Drosophila melanogaster: one gene and its partners. The protein of the gene in region 4 interacts with the protein of the main gene of each other region in a pairwise test. Each region holds a gene or a part of one and is shown on either strand. Other genes may lie near its edges. The genes, in order: Tsp39D, CG13700, CG17377 and CG12679.

Evidence for each region.
Region 1: the proteins of CG12679 (region 4) and Tsp39D interact in a two-hybrid assay, tested with the Drosophila melanogaster proteins (one large-scale study listed by BioGRID).
Region 2: the proteins of CG12679 (region 4) and CG13700 interact in a two-hybrid assay, tested with the Drosophila melanogaster proteins (one large-scale study listed by BioGRID).
Region 3: the proteins of CG12679 (region 4) and CG17377 interact in a two-hybrid assay, tested with the Drosophila melanogaster proteins (one large-scale study listed by BioGRID).

The regions. Positions count from the first base shown.
Region 1 is NT_033779.5:21,342,747-21,347,618, forward strand, and holds the start of Tsp39D (tetraspanin 39D), read left to right. Parts: upstream 1-1,860; 5' UTR 1,861-1,990; intron 1,991-4,872.
Region 2 is NT_037436.4:18,298,233-18,302,958, forward strand, and holds CG13700 (uncharacterized protein), read right to left. Parts: upstream 3,029-4,726; 5' UTR 2,902-3,028; coding exon 2,603-2,901; intron 2,543-2,602; coding exon 2,460-2,542; intron 2,388-2,459; coding exon 1,737-2,387; intron 1,684-1,736; coding exon 1,591-1,683; intron 1,537-1,590; coding exon 1,501-1,536; intron 1,419-1,500; coding exon 1,374-1,418; intron 1,280-1,373; coding exon 1,208-1,279; intron 1,158-1,207; coding exon 842-1,157; intron 782-841; coding exon 663-781; intron 613-662; coding exon 599-612; 3' UTR 510-598; downstream 1-509.
Region 3 is NT_033779.5:6,800,873-6,804,418, forward strand, and holds CG17377 (uncharacterized protein), read right to left. Parts: upstream 1,918-3,546; 5' UTR 1,836-1,917; intron 1,783-1,835; 5' UTR 1,766-1,782; coding exon 1,739-1,765; intron 1,676-1,738; coding exon 1,079-1,675; 3' UTR 981-1,078; coding exon of another isoform or gene 979-980; 3' UTR 836-978; exon of another isoform or gene 834-835; intron 779-833; coding exon of another isoform or gene 768-778; 3' UTR 506-767; downstream 1-505. Other genes in the region: Daao2 (D-amino acid oxidase 2), read left to right, coding at 2,180-2,382, 2,438-2,650, 2,720-3,016, 3,074-3,386.
Region 4 is NC_004354.4:20,375,250-20,378,487, reverse strand, and holds CG12679 (uncharacterized protein), read left to right. Parts: upstream 1-1,965; 5' UTR 1,966-2,095; coding exon 2,096-2,668; 3' UTR 2,669-2,724; downstream 2,725-3,238.

The DNA of each region.
Region 1 (4,872 bases), on a different chromosome or scaffold from region 4:
AAGGATCAAATATTAATTCAAAAATTAGAAACGTTTTCCCAGTGCTGTAAATTATATGAGAAGCCTATTTTGAAGAGCATTTGCTTAGTACAAGTGAAGAAAAGTATATGAATATTTAAATAAGTAATGATAAAAATAACAAATTCATAATTATATGGAATCTGTAATATGTATACATAATATAATAATATAATATGTATACATTCTCACGTTTAAAGCAAAGATTATTTAATAAAGTAAAGAATAAACCGGAACTCCAACACTTTTGAAAAATTCTGTGATAATTCTTCATATTTTTATTAGTCTTGTAAATTACTATGGATTTGCCAAAAAACTTTTTGCCTCGCCTACTTCAACGTCCAAAGACCGCCCAAAACTGCCACACCTACACTTTTAAAATATTTTTAGAATTTTCCGTTTTATTATTTGTCTTGCCAAGTTTTATCGGTATACAAAACAATGTGGCCACGACCCTTCTTTCACCTACAAAACGAACAAAACTGTCACGCCAATAATTTTTAAATTTTTTCTCATTTTATTCACCAAAATCAATCGATATCCTGGAAAAATTATAAAATTTGGCGATCGAATTTCCACTAGCCGAGTAAAGGGTATCTGATGAGCGGGAAATCGAGTATAACATTTTCTCTTGTTTACATATATCCTTTTACACTTTTACCACTTTTCATCCCCAAGCATCAAATTTTTCAAAGTCCTGGTATGAATACAGAAAAAATCCTATGATATACTCTTTTAATGGGCAAAATGTATTTATAATATCATTAGGTTTTTAATTTAAAACCATTCAACAATGGTTCACTTCTATTTTACCCATTACTCGTAGAGTAAATGGGTATACAATATTGGTTGAAAAGTATGTAACAGGCAGAAGGAAGCGTTTCCGACTATATAATTTATATATATTCTTGATCAAGATCAAAAGCCGAGTTGATCTAGCCATGTCCGTGTTGCCACGCCCACAAGAATCACAAAATTTCCAAGCCCACGTGTAACGTGTAACGTGTAATATAACATAAACCGATTCCACCTTATTCTTGCCAAGAAGGTTGGTTTAAGGGCTAAATCAAAAGCAAAAGGAGAGCTAAAACACGGTGGAAATTTTTTAAAGCGTTGTTGAGTAGAGAACGTGCTAAGTTATATATATTTCATAAACCACCGCGAAAGCGAAGAGGATTTATCTAATGGGAGGAAGGTATATATATCATGTAAATGTTCCTGATTCTCTTTTCTTGATCGGAATCTCCAGACGACTCTATATGCCTATGTCCGACTGCATTCGTTTTCTTGGCATTTCATTTGATGTCATCAGGGACTTATGTATATGCAAAAATTGAATACAATCCTGTTTTAATTTTCACTACAAACATAGTTTTATGACAGTAATCGAATCTCCTTTTAGCTAAACTTAACATTGCTTCTTTTATAATCAATCTGGGTTATACAATTTTTATCTACGATTCGAATCCAGTCTACTTTAGTAAAAAATTATGGCAACTCCCGACTTCTGTATACTGCAGTATGGCAGCTCCCGAACTGTGTAGATGTTGGTATGGCAACTCAAAATCACCTGCAATTGCTACTGAACATTCATATTAAACATAATTACGAAAAGACCAACATTAAAATAGCGTTTGTATTCGGCAATACAAGATTTATTGCTGAGAGGGGAAAAAGCGGTTCTAGCATCAACACGTAATAAAAAGAAAATTAACCAAAATTGATTTTCTTGAAATAATGTTTCCAGCACCGGGATAAGATAACAAATAGTGGAGTCATTCAGCAATCGTTGATTGGCGTGAGGTATCGATGACCATGCGCTATCGATACCTCCGTTGGAATTATCACATCGTAGCTCTACTGTTTGTCAAGTCTCACTTGAAAACATCCATCGAAAGTGCTGTTGTTCTGATTAGAGCGCGGGTGCGAGTTAATCAAGCGAACCGTTGCGTCCTGGTCCTAAATTTGAAAGGTATAAATATTTGGGTGAAACCAATCAGCTGCAATAGATGATGCGGTCCCTTGCGCCATACAAATTGGTATTAGTATTGCCCTAGAGGAGTAATTGTGTGTATGTATGTTGGTGGGAGAGTGGAAAGTGGTTTAAGTGAGGGATGCGACCGAACAATATGCACTTCTCCCTGTGCTACCTGAGATCTAGAGTGTGGAGAGTGATTCTGTTGACTAGTTTGCGTGCTTGCGGCAAGCAGGAGCTGCGGTCCGGTGTGATACATGCCTCGCGAAGTTGCTCCAAGTCGTAGTGGATGGTGCTCCAGGTGCTGGGATGCGCCTAATTGGAGATACACAAACGGTCAGTCAAAAGCTCGTGAAGTGTGGGTAATGCCTATATATATCCGCCACCCGCCTACAAGCGGGTTCCGGAAGTAGGCGACGGCACGCAACCATCAACCAGAAGCATCATTATGCACACATGCAGCTGGACATGGGGAAATCCTCTCAATAAAGCCGCTAGGCGGACATTGATTCATATGTTAATACACGTGTATGAATATGACAATTGGTGAGAGCGGGAACCACCAGTTACGCACAGTGGCCAGATCGCACTAGCGCACTATTCGTCAAGGAGTCAGGATTTGGTTGTCGTCTCAAATAAATAGCTAACTTTGTTAGAGATAAATGGTTAGGTTTAATCAAACTAATCGTTTAATTTCAAGGTAACATAAACTCATATTTTGCTTAAACTAAAAACGGTTTAATATAAATAAGTCTGACAGGACCGTAAAACTGCTCTCCAAATTCGGTCGTCTGGTACCTGGGCGCAAATCAATTAAGGAACTATTAACTCAGCAATGGGAACACTACCAAACACTGTACAATGTAGTAGCAATATTAAATATAATAATATAATAATAAACATGGATGCTTGCTTCTGCAAGCTAAAGTATTTAAAAAGTATTAGAAATGGTCGGTAATCGTAGAGTAAGAATTCACTTAAAAGGATGTTACAGGTAGAAGAACGCTTTTTCCACCTTATAAAGTATTTCTGTATGTATTAACACTTAACACATACGTATATCCAAACTGGTTTATTACGCAGTACTAAGAAATATACGGCTGACGTGTGTATTTTACCCTACATTGTCATCCGTGTGGCAGGTGTAGCCACTTTTTACGCAGCTGACACTATTTCTAAGCTATCGATTTTGTCTTCTATTCCTTTCCCATTGCTTTGAATGCCGATACTTGGCCTATTGCTGGTGGTGGGGTGGCACTAATAATTTAAAAACCGACCTATTTCAGTGCAGAGTTCAAACTCATTCAAACTACACAACTATTACAGCAAGCGCAATATACATACATATGTATGTATGTACATATGTATTCCTGTCCTTCCTAGTTTTCGTTCTCCATGTCCGTCCGTATGAAGGTGGAGATCTGAGGAACTATAAAACCTACAATATTGAGATTAAGCATATAGATTTCAGAGGCATAGTTTGTTTACTCATGTTGCTACGCCCACAAACCCTGCCAAAGCTGCCACGCCCACACCATTGGAAAATGTGTTGATATTTATATATCCGTTACTCGTAGAGTCAAAGGTTATGATCAGGATCAATAGCCGAGTCTATATGTCCCTGTCTGTCTGCTCGAATGTCTATGCGTCCATATGAACGCCGAGATCTCAAAAACTATAAAAGCTAGAAGGTTGAGATTAAGCATAAAGATTCTAGAGACATAGGCGCAGTGCAAGTTTATTTCAAATCACCCAAAACCGGTACGCCCACTGTTTGTTTTGATATATTTTCCTATTTTTATACCCGTTACTCAGATTAAAAGGTGATACTAGATTCGTTGAAAAGTGTTTCCGACCAAATCAAGTATATATATCCTTGATCAGGATCCATAGCCGAGTCAATCTGGACATGAAAGTCGAGACCTCAGGAACTATAAAAGCTAAAAGGCATACAGATTCTAGAAACATAGACGGAGCGCAAGTTTGACCCATGTTGCCACACTCACTCTAACGCCACGCCTACACTTTTGAAAAATGTGTTGATATTTGTTCACATATGTATTAGTCTTGTAAATTTTATCGATTTTGCCAAAAACGTTTTTGCCACGCCCACTCAAACCGCACAACCGGTCACGCCCACACTTTTGAACAATTTTTAAATTTTTTTTCATTTTATTTCCCAATATCTCTTGATATCCCAAAATAAATGATACTTTCGCGTTCTCATTCACACTAGCTGAGTAACGGGTATCTGATAGTCGGGGAACTCGACTATTCTCGCATTCTCTCTTGTTAGTTTTGTAAATTTCTGTCGATTTGATAAAAAACTTTTTGCAATGCCCACTCTAACGCACAAAACCCGCCGAATCCTGTCGCGAACCCACTTTTGGAAAATATTTCGATCTTTTTTCATATTTTTAATAGTCTTTTCTTTCCAAATTCTATCGATATGCCAACAAGGATGTTAAATGCTTAAGCTGAGTAACGGGTATCTGATATTCGAGGAACTCGTTCATTCTTGCTTTTTAAATTCATTTAACAGTTTTTTAATGCAAAATTTGTTTAAATTAATGTATTTTGTATATACTCGTAATAGTTGACATTGTAAAGGTTCGGTAAAGTTGTACATTGAAATAACTCCGGAAAAAAGTTTTTAAAACTTCTTCAATACAGGAAATCCATATCGTTAGCCGGGAATAGCTTACACATACAGAATAACATACAGGAATAATGAAAAGACCGGTGTGTTTGAATCTTGTTCTATGATTATCACTTTAACAGAGTACGGATAAAAATGAATACTAAACGTATACGAGCTTAAATAGCGTTAGGCAGTTGGTTTATTTTTCTTCGCGTCTTATAGCATGTAGTATGTGCAT
Region 2 (4,726 bases), on a different chromosome or scaffold from region 4:
TTAAACGAATGTGGTCGTTTGTGGCCATATTGCGTTTCACTTTCGCTCCACATACAGGCCTTTCGCATTTGGGGGCGTTGTTTGCCTGGCCCTTTTTCAGCTTGCCACATTTCCGACTTGGTTTTTGCACGAAACTGGGTCACTGATGTCGCCCGTTTGTTTGTCCAATGCGAGGGTTCCCTCACGGGTTAGTGTACTTTACTGCTAAAATCAATAGACCAGCTCACTGTAATTAGCTTTGACTTAAAGTGCATGCCATGCGAAGTTCAGGATCTGGGAAGGTGGAACATTCCTACTGTGAGTCATTACCATTGCTGGACTGCAAAAAAGTTCTATTGAGAAACTTGCTCGACAAAGTCTTCATCTTCAGCAGTCATAGTAATGAAACGTTTTAAGTAATGATCAATACCTTGTTCTTGAACTTATTTTAAGTTTTATTAACTTTTATTAACTCAACATTGTTTTCTAAGATTATAAATTGAAAAGGAAGTTGTTATATTTCTTTTTTTGGTTGCCTTTATTGTTTAAGAGTATTATAATATAATATATATAATTATTGTATCAATTCCACCATCTCACTCTCGGGGTTCCTTCCGATTCAGCCCTGTTGCACTGTTGATCGCGAATATTGTAAAAACATACAACAATTATTCGTTACAAACCTGGATTTCCACTACTTATATGACTAGCTTGCATTTGAGGAGTAGCCATAGGAATACCTGATGCTGGATTATAGTTAAGTGTGGAACAAGGCATATCGTAGGAATAGGGACTTGAATAACTGACGCAGGTAAAAACAAATAGTTATATTGCATGGTTTAGTATTTTGAATATTTCTTACCTCATTTGACTGAGAGGGTAAGCGCTCATATTCATGTCGCAGGCACCACCCATGCCATAGACCTGACCACCGTTGCCCATCTCAACCAGGCCAGGGGATCCAGCTGGACCGTAGATGTTACAGGGTTCGGTGGCCAAGCCCATGTCCATGCCCCCATTGGGGAAGTGGTTAAAGTGGTTGCCATCGTTGGAAAAGGGTTTGTAGTCTGAGGAGTATACTGTGTGGTTCTGCAGAGAGTCGCTCATAAATCCAGTGTTACTGGCAAACCAGTTAGGGGAAGGCATTCCCATCAATGAGGAAAAGATTTGTTGAGCACCTAAACGAAAATCGGTAACCATTTGAAAATTTGGTATGCTAAGTAAGTACCTAGACCATCATTGCTACAATATTGTTGAGCACCGAAAGAAGAACTGAAAGCCTGTTGCATGCCTTGACAATCTGAGAGATGTTGGTTTTCGGAAATAATTCAATAGTTAAAACGATAGAATGTCATTAGGACATTTATGAAAGTGAATAATTTAATTAAGCATACCTTGATTGGGGCTGCCTAACATTTCATGCATACCTATTTGAATGGCTTAAAATAATTAATATATTTTAAAACAGTTGGATATTATTAAAATAAGATGAAGAGTTAATTACTGAGTGCTAAAACTTACCTTGATTGCATCCGGCAAACATTGAACGCGTACCTGCTTAAATGATGAAAATGTGGTCAAATTGTTTTAGGATTACGAATTCATGTTTACCCTCAGTACCATTGTTATAAAACTGTTGAGTTCCCTGCGCAAAGTTATTGAAATACGGCTGACTCTGAGCATTAGCAAATGATTGTTGAATTCCTAAAATTCGGCATATTACATTGCATCCACGGTTGCTTATTTATCATGCTTACCTTGTTGTGCAGTGGCATAGCATTGCTGAACACTCTTCTGGTACTTTTGCATAAAGGCCTCCATGTCCAAATTGTTAGGACTTTGATGAAATGAAGCACTATCCCCATTTGAATGACAATTTTCCTCTGAAGATTCTGATGAAGTTTGACATTTCGTACCAGTTTCCCGGTTGTTCTGGCCACCGCCTCCCCTTTGACTTTCATCCATTTGCATGCCTGGCATTGAGTACATAGCATTGCCTTGATAATTTAGTGGGGTAGAGTAGCAGTAGATGGGAAACCCGGTACTCGGATCCACACCCATTGGAACAGGAAAAATGTGCTGTTGCTGGCCAGGATAAGTCTGATCCCATTGGGAGCATCCAGATTGCTGACTAGAAGCGATATCACAGCAACAGCCACAAGTCTCTTTGGAGCAGCAAGGACTCTCACTCTCACATGGAGCTGAACTGGTAGTACTGGGATCGTTGACAATGGTCTCGTCCGATCTTGATCCGGCTTCCGGAAGAGATTGACCATAGCCGTATTGATTTTGGCACATCTGCCCGGGCGAACTAGATGATGACGATTCCATCTCTCTTTGTCCAGATGTCGAGTCCTGAGTCATTGGGTTAAAGGATTGCCAGCTACAAGAAGGTTGACATACTGGATCTACAATAGCAGGAAATAAAAAGATCAATAAATTTCCAAAAATATTTTAGAAATTAGAAACTCAATATTTACATTCGCTATAGTTATAGTCTCGGTAGTCCATTGTCTGACCCTTTTGTTGAACTACTTGACCCGAGGCAATGCGAAACTCTGAGCTAAGATGCATATGAGTAAGAAAATTAAATTAAAATTATTGTTAAAATAACTTAACTTACTAACGAACGCTCATTTGCTTCAGAAAACGTGTGTATTCGCTATCTGGATCTGCCTCAGAAGTAAGTTTTTCTGTCTGGGGAGTAGAATTGTATTTCGACGATGACGTGTGAACCTTTTCCTGGTCAGATTTGGGAACTTCACTTGTCTTTTGAGCGTTTAATTCTTGAACACTTTTCGACTTGAAAGTTTTGCAGACGTCATCGAAGCTTTCGATTGAATCTAGTATTTGGCGGACTTCCTGATCCTGCTCGTCGCCCAAGGAATCATTATCATTGTCATTCTTATCCGAAGTGTTCATTATGATTATAAGATGGATATCCTGGTCGAGCTTTGCGGTATGACACCACTAAGGTATCTAGCTCATGCCTAAGTAAATGCTTTGGAATTTTGCTTCCCTTAAGGAATAATAATAATTTCTTAAAGTTTATTTACACTCTTCTCATTGAATACTTTGTTTATGCTTTTATAGAACAACTTTCTCAAAATCAACTGAAATAAACGTTTTAAGGTTTAATTAAAAAAGAACACCGAACAATTTTTTGAAGCTCTATCTATCCAGTCTGCAATACAAAAGGGAAACAGCATATTTAGATGACTTGACTATATGTATTTAAGTTAACTAGATTACACTTATTTGCTTTTATATTGCTTTCTTTTTTCTTTTTAAATGTCTATTACCCGTGGTTTTAACTATTGAAATATTTGAGTGTGGACCCAATCGAAAGCAGTTTGCCAGCAACCTGTGACTCGATGGAATTTTCACCCATTTGCAGCTCCCACCTGGCTATCTCAGATCAGTTTAACATATGTGGCACTAATTTAACTAAATTAACTACAAATATGTTATCATAAACTGTCTCTCCGCCGAGCATAATTGCAGGCGCTAAGAAGGAATTTGAGTGGAAAACGAACCCGAATGAAAACTTGATCCAGGACACGCGACTGACACTATGCGAGCATTTGCATACCCTATAATTTCCCCCTTGCTTATCATCGCCAAAAATCAAGCCACACGCGAAAAAAAAGGATAGCGAAGGACCCTAATTTCCAGGTCGCTTATTGTCATGTCACGACAATTAAACAATTTCTTGTGCGCTGGTTCCAGTGCGCTTTTGAGCGATTTAAATTAAGATAGGCGGCAAATTAGCGGCCCGAAATGTTTGCATAATTATTATTTGACTGGCGAACTTATCAGGCGCCGCTGATCGCTTGCTGCCACAGATGTTACACTTTTTCCACTTCTGGGGTTAAATGGGTTTCCGGGCTTGCTAAAGGGTACACCCCCTTTGCCCTTTTCCTCTTTTTCCCTTTGACCCCGAGCCCGATGACTTGGACATTGGTGGCACAAACTGGGATCTGCGGTTAAGCGTCACCTTTGCTTTTTAACCCTTTTGGGTGGAGTGTGCCTGGCATGACACGACGGGAAAATTCTCTGTCTGCCCTTAACCAAAAATGTGTTTTCCCTTTTAAGGTGACATATTGGTTTTGACGATAGCGATCGCTAAATGTTTGCTTACTCCGCCTTTTCCTGGCAGGACGGTTATCCTTTGCCATTTCATTGCCCAAAATGGAATACAAAGGCTTAATTCATAAGCGGTTATTAAAAGAGTGTATTAAACAAAATTTCATATTATTTTGACGTATTTTTTTATAAAAACTTTGGTGAAACAAATAAATATTCTTTTGAATTTATTTTAAAAACGTTTTAGTTTATTTTTAAAATATTTTAAAAACGCTTCGAATAATTTTTCAAAAACATTTTAATAGAGTTCTACACCTCCGAAATAAAAGGTAATTAAATATATATATCTCGGCAATGGTGTTGGTAAAATTCTTTATGTTTTTCTGAAAAGGGACAATAATAATCGTTCAAAGTATTTTTTAATTTTTTATAAAATTGTATTTATTTTTTGCTTGTTTGTCTTATAAAAATTTTAATTTCTTACAAATGCTATCTTTACATGTGATTAATTTCAATATTTCTTGTTTAATTTGCAATGCCAAAATTAAAATAATATGTTTTGAATTTTGCTAAAATCAATAATAATGATAAGATACATTTCAAATTTTGTTATTCTTGATTATTCGTATCAAAATTGCTTAAATGTTTGTTGTTGTTTTGT
Region 3 (3,546 bases), on a different chromosome or scaffold from region 4:
CATCCAGTTCAAGTTTCGGTTCGGGTTGGCTTAAAAGTCATGGCCAACTTTATGAAATTTCATGGCCTACTTCGACTTAGCAAAGATTATGAAATCGCCACAGATCTACATAATTATATATCTATATTTGCCTTATTCACTAAAACAAAATATTTGACCCGCGAATTGTTTAGGTCAACTAACTCACTAAGATTGGAACATGGCTCTCCCAGCTCGAAAAAATGGGTTTAAAACAAAGTACTATCAGCAAAGTTCAACTTTTAATTAATTAAATCTTAAATGCCACGGAAACCCACCCTAATAAAATTGATATTAATTAATATAAATATCAGAATATCTGTGGGACATATGAACGTAAATTTTTATGGCCTTGGCATAAGGTTTCAACCTTAATTTACAATTCTAATGCCAGGCTTAAAATATAAATATTCGAAGCATAAGTGCAGCCATAAAATAAACGCAACCTTTAACACCCCCCATAATACACAGAATATAATTTCAATTTGTTTATTTGTAATTTAATGCCAAATAGATTCCAGATACCAACATATGATTTTGTGTTTAAATCAAGACCGTCTGACGAATTGCACATGGGTTCCCAAATAGCTTCGAGCCCTTCTAGTAATGGGTATTCCGCAGCTGGCTAAATCTTGATTTAAGCCAACTTCAATTTTTTATCAACCAAAACTACGTCACAAAACGACAACATGTCCCGCCAAGGAAGTGGCCCATATCAGGATCCGATCGAAACACTTGCCAGGAAATACTTATAAGCCACCTGTGGGATGAGAAAGGTAAAACCAGTGAATGCAGAAGGTATCGCAGTTACTTACACGCGACAGGATGCGGATGGAGGTCAAAGGGTCATGAAGGATTTGGGGCCTGGCAACAGCATTTGGTCCATGGATCCTACCTCTACGCTCACAAAGCCCAGGACATGCTATCATTGTTGACGGATCAGCGTAGTGGGCATAAAGCTCCTGCAAAAGGACATGAAGCGTCACCACAAGCACATGTTCCAGATGCTGTGACCTGCAAAGTCCTTGGGCATGCCTCGTGCTCCTCCGCTCCATGGTTTTTACGTTCTACGGACGCCCAGCGCCGTGACAGATGGACAAGCAGACGGACAGACAGGCGGACAGGTGGACGGACCTGGACCGGACTTACATGGGTACGTCACAGGTGCGTTATAGTAGTTCCAGACACGCGGATCGGGAATGCCGCCTTCAGGCAGCGGAGGGCAGCACATGCCCGGAGCAGAGGAGCAAGGAATGGGCGACGGAGCTCCGCATGGAGGACTGTGCGGGCCACAGCATGGAAGACTGTGCGAGCCACAGCATGGAGGACTGTGCGGGCCACAGCAGGGCGATACATTACAGCAGCAGGGACCGCATCCACAGCAGCCGCCGGCAACGCGTCCACCGCATCCGGCACCGCCATTTGGTGCTCCAGTGGCGGCACAGCGCATACGCTTATTGTTCACGCCCATCATCATGTTAGCGTAGCGCAGCGGGAATGCCGCCGGACCGCAGGTGGGGAAGGGGAAGCACAGGCAGGCCGGTCGGCCCTGGCAGGCGGACCGCGGGCACTTGTCCTGCAGACCGTTCCGCTTCACGCAGTCGCAAGTGGTGTACATGATGCCGCATCGTAACTCCCGACTGCGGCATCCGCGCGGCTGGAAAGGATGCATACATAGTGGTCACAAGTGGTCAGTGGTGTGTTGCATATGGTTACTCACCTCCAACGATCCACATCCGTCACACATCTTGAGCCCGTCGAGCGCTACAGGACAAAGGATTTAAAAATATACTATGGTCTTCCCGGGATAAACTTACTCTATTTGGTCAAATTAATTTGGAAGAAAAATTTGGAATTTGGAAAATTTAGAAGCTGGCCGAAACGAAAGGTCCGAGAGTTTGGTATCGAATGAGGAATGATCAACACATCCCAACACACATATTCGGTTCCGTTTGAGATGAAATGCAAGGCCAACTTGTTGGAATTATAGCCTACTAGATTTTAAGAAAGAGTTAATATTAGATTCAAAATGCAAAAAGCTTTTTCGCTCTTTTTAAAAGCTCTGTTATCAGCTAATTGTATTATGCGATTTGCTTACAATTCTGATAAGCGATCCTCTTTTCAGTTCATTCCAAGTTCCCAAGCTGATCGGATTGGAGCAATGCCTAACATTGCAGTTATCGGTGCCGGGGTTAATGGTGTTGCCAGTGCCATTAAGATACTGGAACACTATGTGAACGATGGAAAGACACCCATAAAGGTGACGATCATATCGGAGGACTTCACGCCTAACACAACTGGAGATGGTTCGGCTGGTCTCTGGGGTCCGTACCTTCTGGGCGGCACTTCGCAGGCGAAAGTCTAGTAAGTTTTACTAGTCACTATATTATATTCTTACTTATAACTTTTTTTCCATCAGCAAGTGGTCGAAGAGCATGCACCAATTTTTGGAGAAGATCTGGCTGAGCGAGGATGCCGGAGAGGCTGGCGTTTGTCTGCTACCCTGCATTCGGCTGAGCACCTCAACGGTGGACACGGTCGAAGATTTTTGGCGTGACATTGTCTATGGAGCAGTGGATCTGTCCAAGGAACAGCTGGCTGCCTACAATAAAGGTCGCAGCGTTAAGTTCACGTAAGAATATTCATAGATATCCATAGATTTATACTTGCTGAAATATGAACATATCTAAACCATATCTAGGTCTGGTTTATCCTTTGTTACCTACACCTCGGAGCCCATTAAGCTACTGCCGTATTTGATGAAGCGTTTCACCCGAAATGGAGGTGTTGTTGTCCGGAAAAGGATTACAGACCTGGATGCATTTGTAGCCGATTCCGAGTACGATGTGATAGTCAATTGCTCCGGATTGGGCTCTAAGACCCTACTAAACGACGATCAAATGTACGCAGTGCGTGGCCAAGTTTCCCGGGTGAGGGCCAACTGGATTTTCTCTGCCGTGCTGGACGAGAGTGATGATGGCAACTATATTATACCCAAGTGAGTATTTGCCAGTTACACTTATTTGTTCGTATTCCAATATCTGAAATATTTAAGCACCGAAAGTGTTGTCCTGGGCGGAACCCATCAGGAGCGGGACTACAACACTAAAGTCTGCCAGAACGACAGGCGGATGATCGTCGATGGCTGTCAGCGGTACATTCCTGGTTTGGAGCACACGGAGTGCCTCTTTGATTGGGTAGGTCTCCGGCCGGGTCGCACCCAACTCCGACTGGAAGCCGAGCGCCGCGGCCGCAAGCTCCTCATCCACAACTATGGACATGGCGGCAGTGGAGTCACTTTGTGCTGGGGCTGTGCCGACGATGTCCTCAATATCCTGTTGGCCGCCAAGAACGGTTCCAAATTATAAGTCAGTTGGAAAGATTATTATTTTAGTTCTATAACAAAATTGGTAGTGTAAAGGTAACAGCATTTAAAAGCATCTCTTTATCTACATAATAAACATTTTAATATATTTCATTACACTTAGCAATTTCTATATGGAAAATGTTATAAAATTGAATTGAATG
Region 4 (3,238 bases):
CGGGTATAAGAAATGAAGGGTAAAAGGGAATACCCAAGAAAATTTTTGTGCTCATGTCTTTGCTCTTTGATGGACTCAATGGGTGCCTCCCATTTCAAACACATAAAGTAATTGCAATTAAAGACGGCATTTGTTGATTTTTACGTTTTTTAATGTCTCAATCTAAATAATAAAAACATAGTGGGCTTAAAAAGTATCTATTAAATATAAGGACTTAATGTTGTTGGATCAGGTAGTAAGTCATCGACGTCTACCTGTTCCCCATAGATAGCGCCGATTTGTAGGAAAAACTTCACCAAATTTTTAAATCCGGCTCCGGTTACTGCAGAAAACGGCCGACAATCTTGGACAACCCATTGGGTGCATTTTTCAATAGCTACTTTCTTGTCGTTTTCCGAAACAATTTTTAATTCCGTTGGTCGTCTTAATGTTAGACAACATTTATGGCGGGATAAATTGGAGGTGTTTTTGTGTAAAAATTTGAGCACTTTCTGGCATTGCCTGCAGAACAGCCATCCGTCCAGAACAGTTTCATCTTCCTTTAAAATGTCACATAAAATGCTCCAAATAACACTTTTTCCTTTATGTTTATTGGCAACTGAGTATGTTCCATTGTTAATTTTATTTTTAACGAAATCAGCCGCTTCTGCCATTATTGTGACCTTTTCCTTTGGCTTCCAAATAATACTGAATCCTAACAAGCTAGTAATTGCATCGTAAAAAACAAAAAAGGGGCAATTAACAGCCGAGACACTGGACCAAAGACACAAGAACTCAACAATCATTATGTATGGCGCCATTTGACTCGACTACCTACGAGACCACTCGAGTATTTTTGGAAACACCCGAGTATTTTTGGAAACACCCATGTGTTTAACGGTATACCCACAAGTGTTTTTCTCACTCATCCCTTTTTAGGCACTGTGTGAGCGGCACCCGCGACGCAAAACACCGTATTGATTCGGGTGCGCACACAACGGGGTGTCTTGTCTGCATGTTCAGATTTATACTGTGTGTTTGTAAGTACCCGCGATGTGCGTGGCGAGTAGCACCCGCACACAAAATTGTAGGGTGTGAGTCGAGTGGTAAAAAAGTGCCACCCTTGCAGTTCTCTGACTGGAAAACCATGAAAATGTCCTTGCCAGCTAAATGCCACTCTCTCTCACACACACACAACCACACACACACGTCCAATGCAGTGCGGGAAATTTCTTGGTATAAACTTAATAATGCATCGGGGCAAATAAAGGAAAAAAGCAAAAGAAACAACGGCAAGTCGGAAAGCCAACATAAGTTTTGGGGCTAACTTGTTATTTTTGTAATTGGCACTTTGCAGTTTTATTGAAGCGTTGGAGCCCCGAAAAGGGCGCTCGGGATTTTGGGGGTTACCACTCCCGTCCTTTGTGCGGATCAAAATCCAGATTGGTTATTTATATACTGCGTTCGTTCAGGTGTTGTGATCGATGTTCTGATGCTGCCTCCCTAACCACTCAGCCGGGAGTGACTCAGTGACCCTGCCGACATCCATCCCTGGTCGTAATCTGAGGTGGCCAACGTTAGCCACTTTGGCGATGAGCAGCCTTTGTCCCCTTGGCATACTGGCTGCACTGGCTTGGTTATTGGTTATATTTGGTTCAGGAACTTCGGGATTTGAAGTGGGTTTGGATTAGACAACGAATGATTGCAACGAAGGAAGGGTATGCAAGCATACTTCATAATGAGGATTGTTAGTCCTTGTAGCCATTTTAATTCTCATGTTGTATGTCGTAAAAGGTAAAAGGTATAAGTATTTGAATAAGAACGAGAACCCGATACATTTGTGTATTGCTTATGATATGGCCATTTTAAATCTCAAAACATTTATCTAGCAAAACTGAGTTGATAAATCGATTAAACAGAGTTGGCCTGGACTCGGTCTTCAATGTTCTGCCAGTGGGAGTCATTTGGATTCAGTCATTCCAGACCCCAGTCTCAAGGTAGCAACTTTCAAAATTTTTAGTTCCTGTGTTCGTAACAAATAAGTGAAATCGCATATCGTGATACCAGACTGACAGAATCGATAGAATTCTCGAAGGAACGAAGAGAAGCGCCGAAAATGCATGTGGTGGGGGCACTGGTCAATCTGCTGCTGATCTTGGCCTGCATTTACACGATGACCTCACTGACCCCGGCGGACCATCCGTATGCCTTCCTGGCGGCATCCTTCAGCCTGGTCCACGGAGTGCTGGGCGTGGTTCGCTCCTTTGCCAACGAGCCCGACGAGTGCGGACGCACCTTTATGATCTCAGCCATCATACTGGAGGTTATCCCGCTGCCACTGGCGAACATCGAGTTCTACCTGGTATCCGATCAGTCGGGAGTGGCGCTGGTGCACGGCCTGTCGTTGATTCCACTGTTCTACGACATGATCGGCAAGATCAGCGAGGACTGGGACAGCTCCACGGAGACGCTGATGGACCTCGCTCTGTTGGGCAACATCGGCTCCACGTTGTATCTGGCCATCAAGGACGGCAACCATATCTACTTCGGTGTGGCTGCCACCGCGCTCCTCGCCAGATACGGCGGTGCAATTGTCGATAGCTGCAACGAGGGCCTTAGCAACGTTGTAGAGACTCTGGGAAACACCGGCATCCTGGCCCTTATGACCTACGCACTCACTGAGGGCTAATTGCTAAAACTTAAATTTGATCGGTTCGCGAAATAAAGCCAAGATGATGAATCAGCATTTGAAATTGGTTGAGCCAACTATCATTGAATACAAGGCACTAGGGATTTGTAGTTTGGGGATATGAATTACAAATCTACAATGAGAAAGGAATAAGCAATATAGCACTACTATATAAGCCATAAACCATGTCAAGGGTATACAGACTTCGGTGTGCTGCGGCTAACTAGCCTCACTCACTCGCGCGACTTCAAATTGCCAACTTAGTTGTTATTTGTTCGCTGTCTGGCTGAAGGGGCAGCGCGAAAAAGACGCGGTTCAAGGGCCGAAGGACGACGGACGACGGACGAGGGACGAAGGACTGGGGTCTCAGGACGAGGGACTCAGGAGGGCAGAGAAGGAAAGGGACGGGGCAATATTCGTGGACGCAGCACTGTGATGGCTCTCACGTCACCACTTCAGCAAATTGCGGCAATAATGCAACAAAGGTTTCTTGGGAAACACATACCAAATTGCATAAGCAAGGCAAGGCAAGGCAAGGCCACGGAAGCGGGGTGGTGTGGCCCGCTTCCT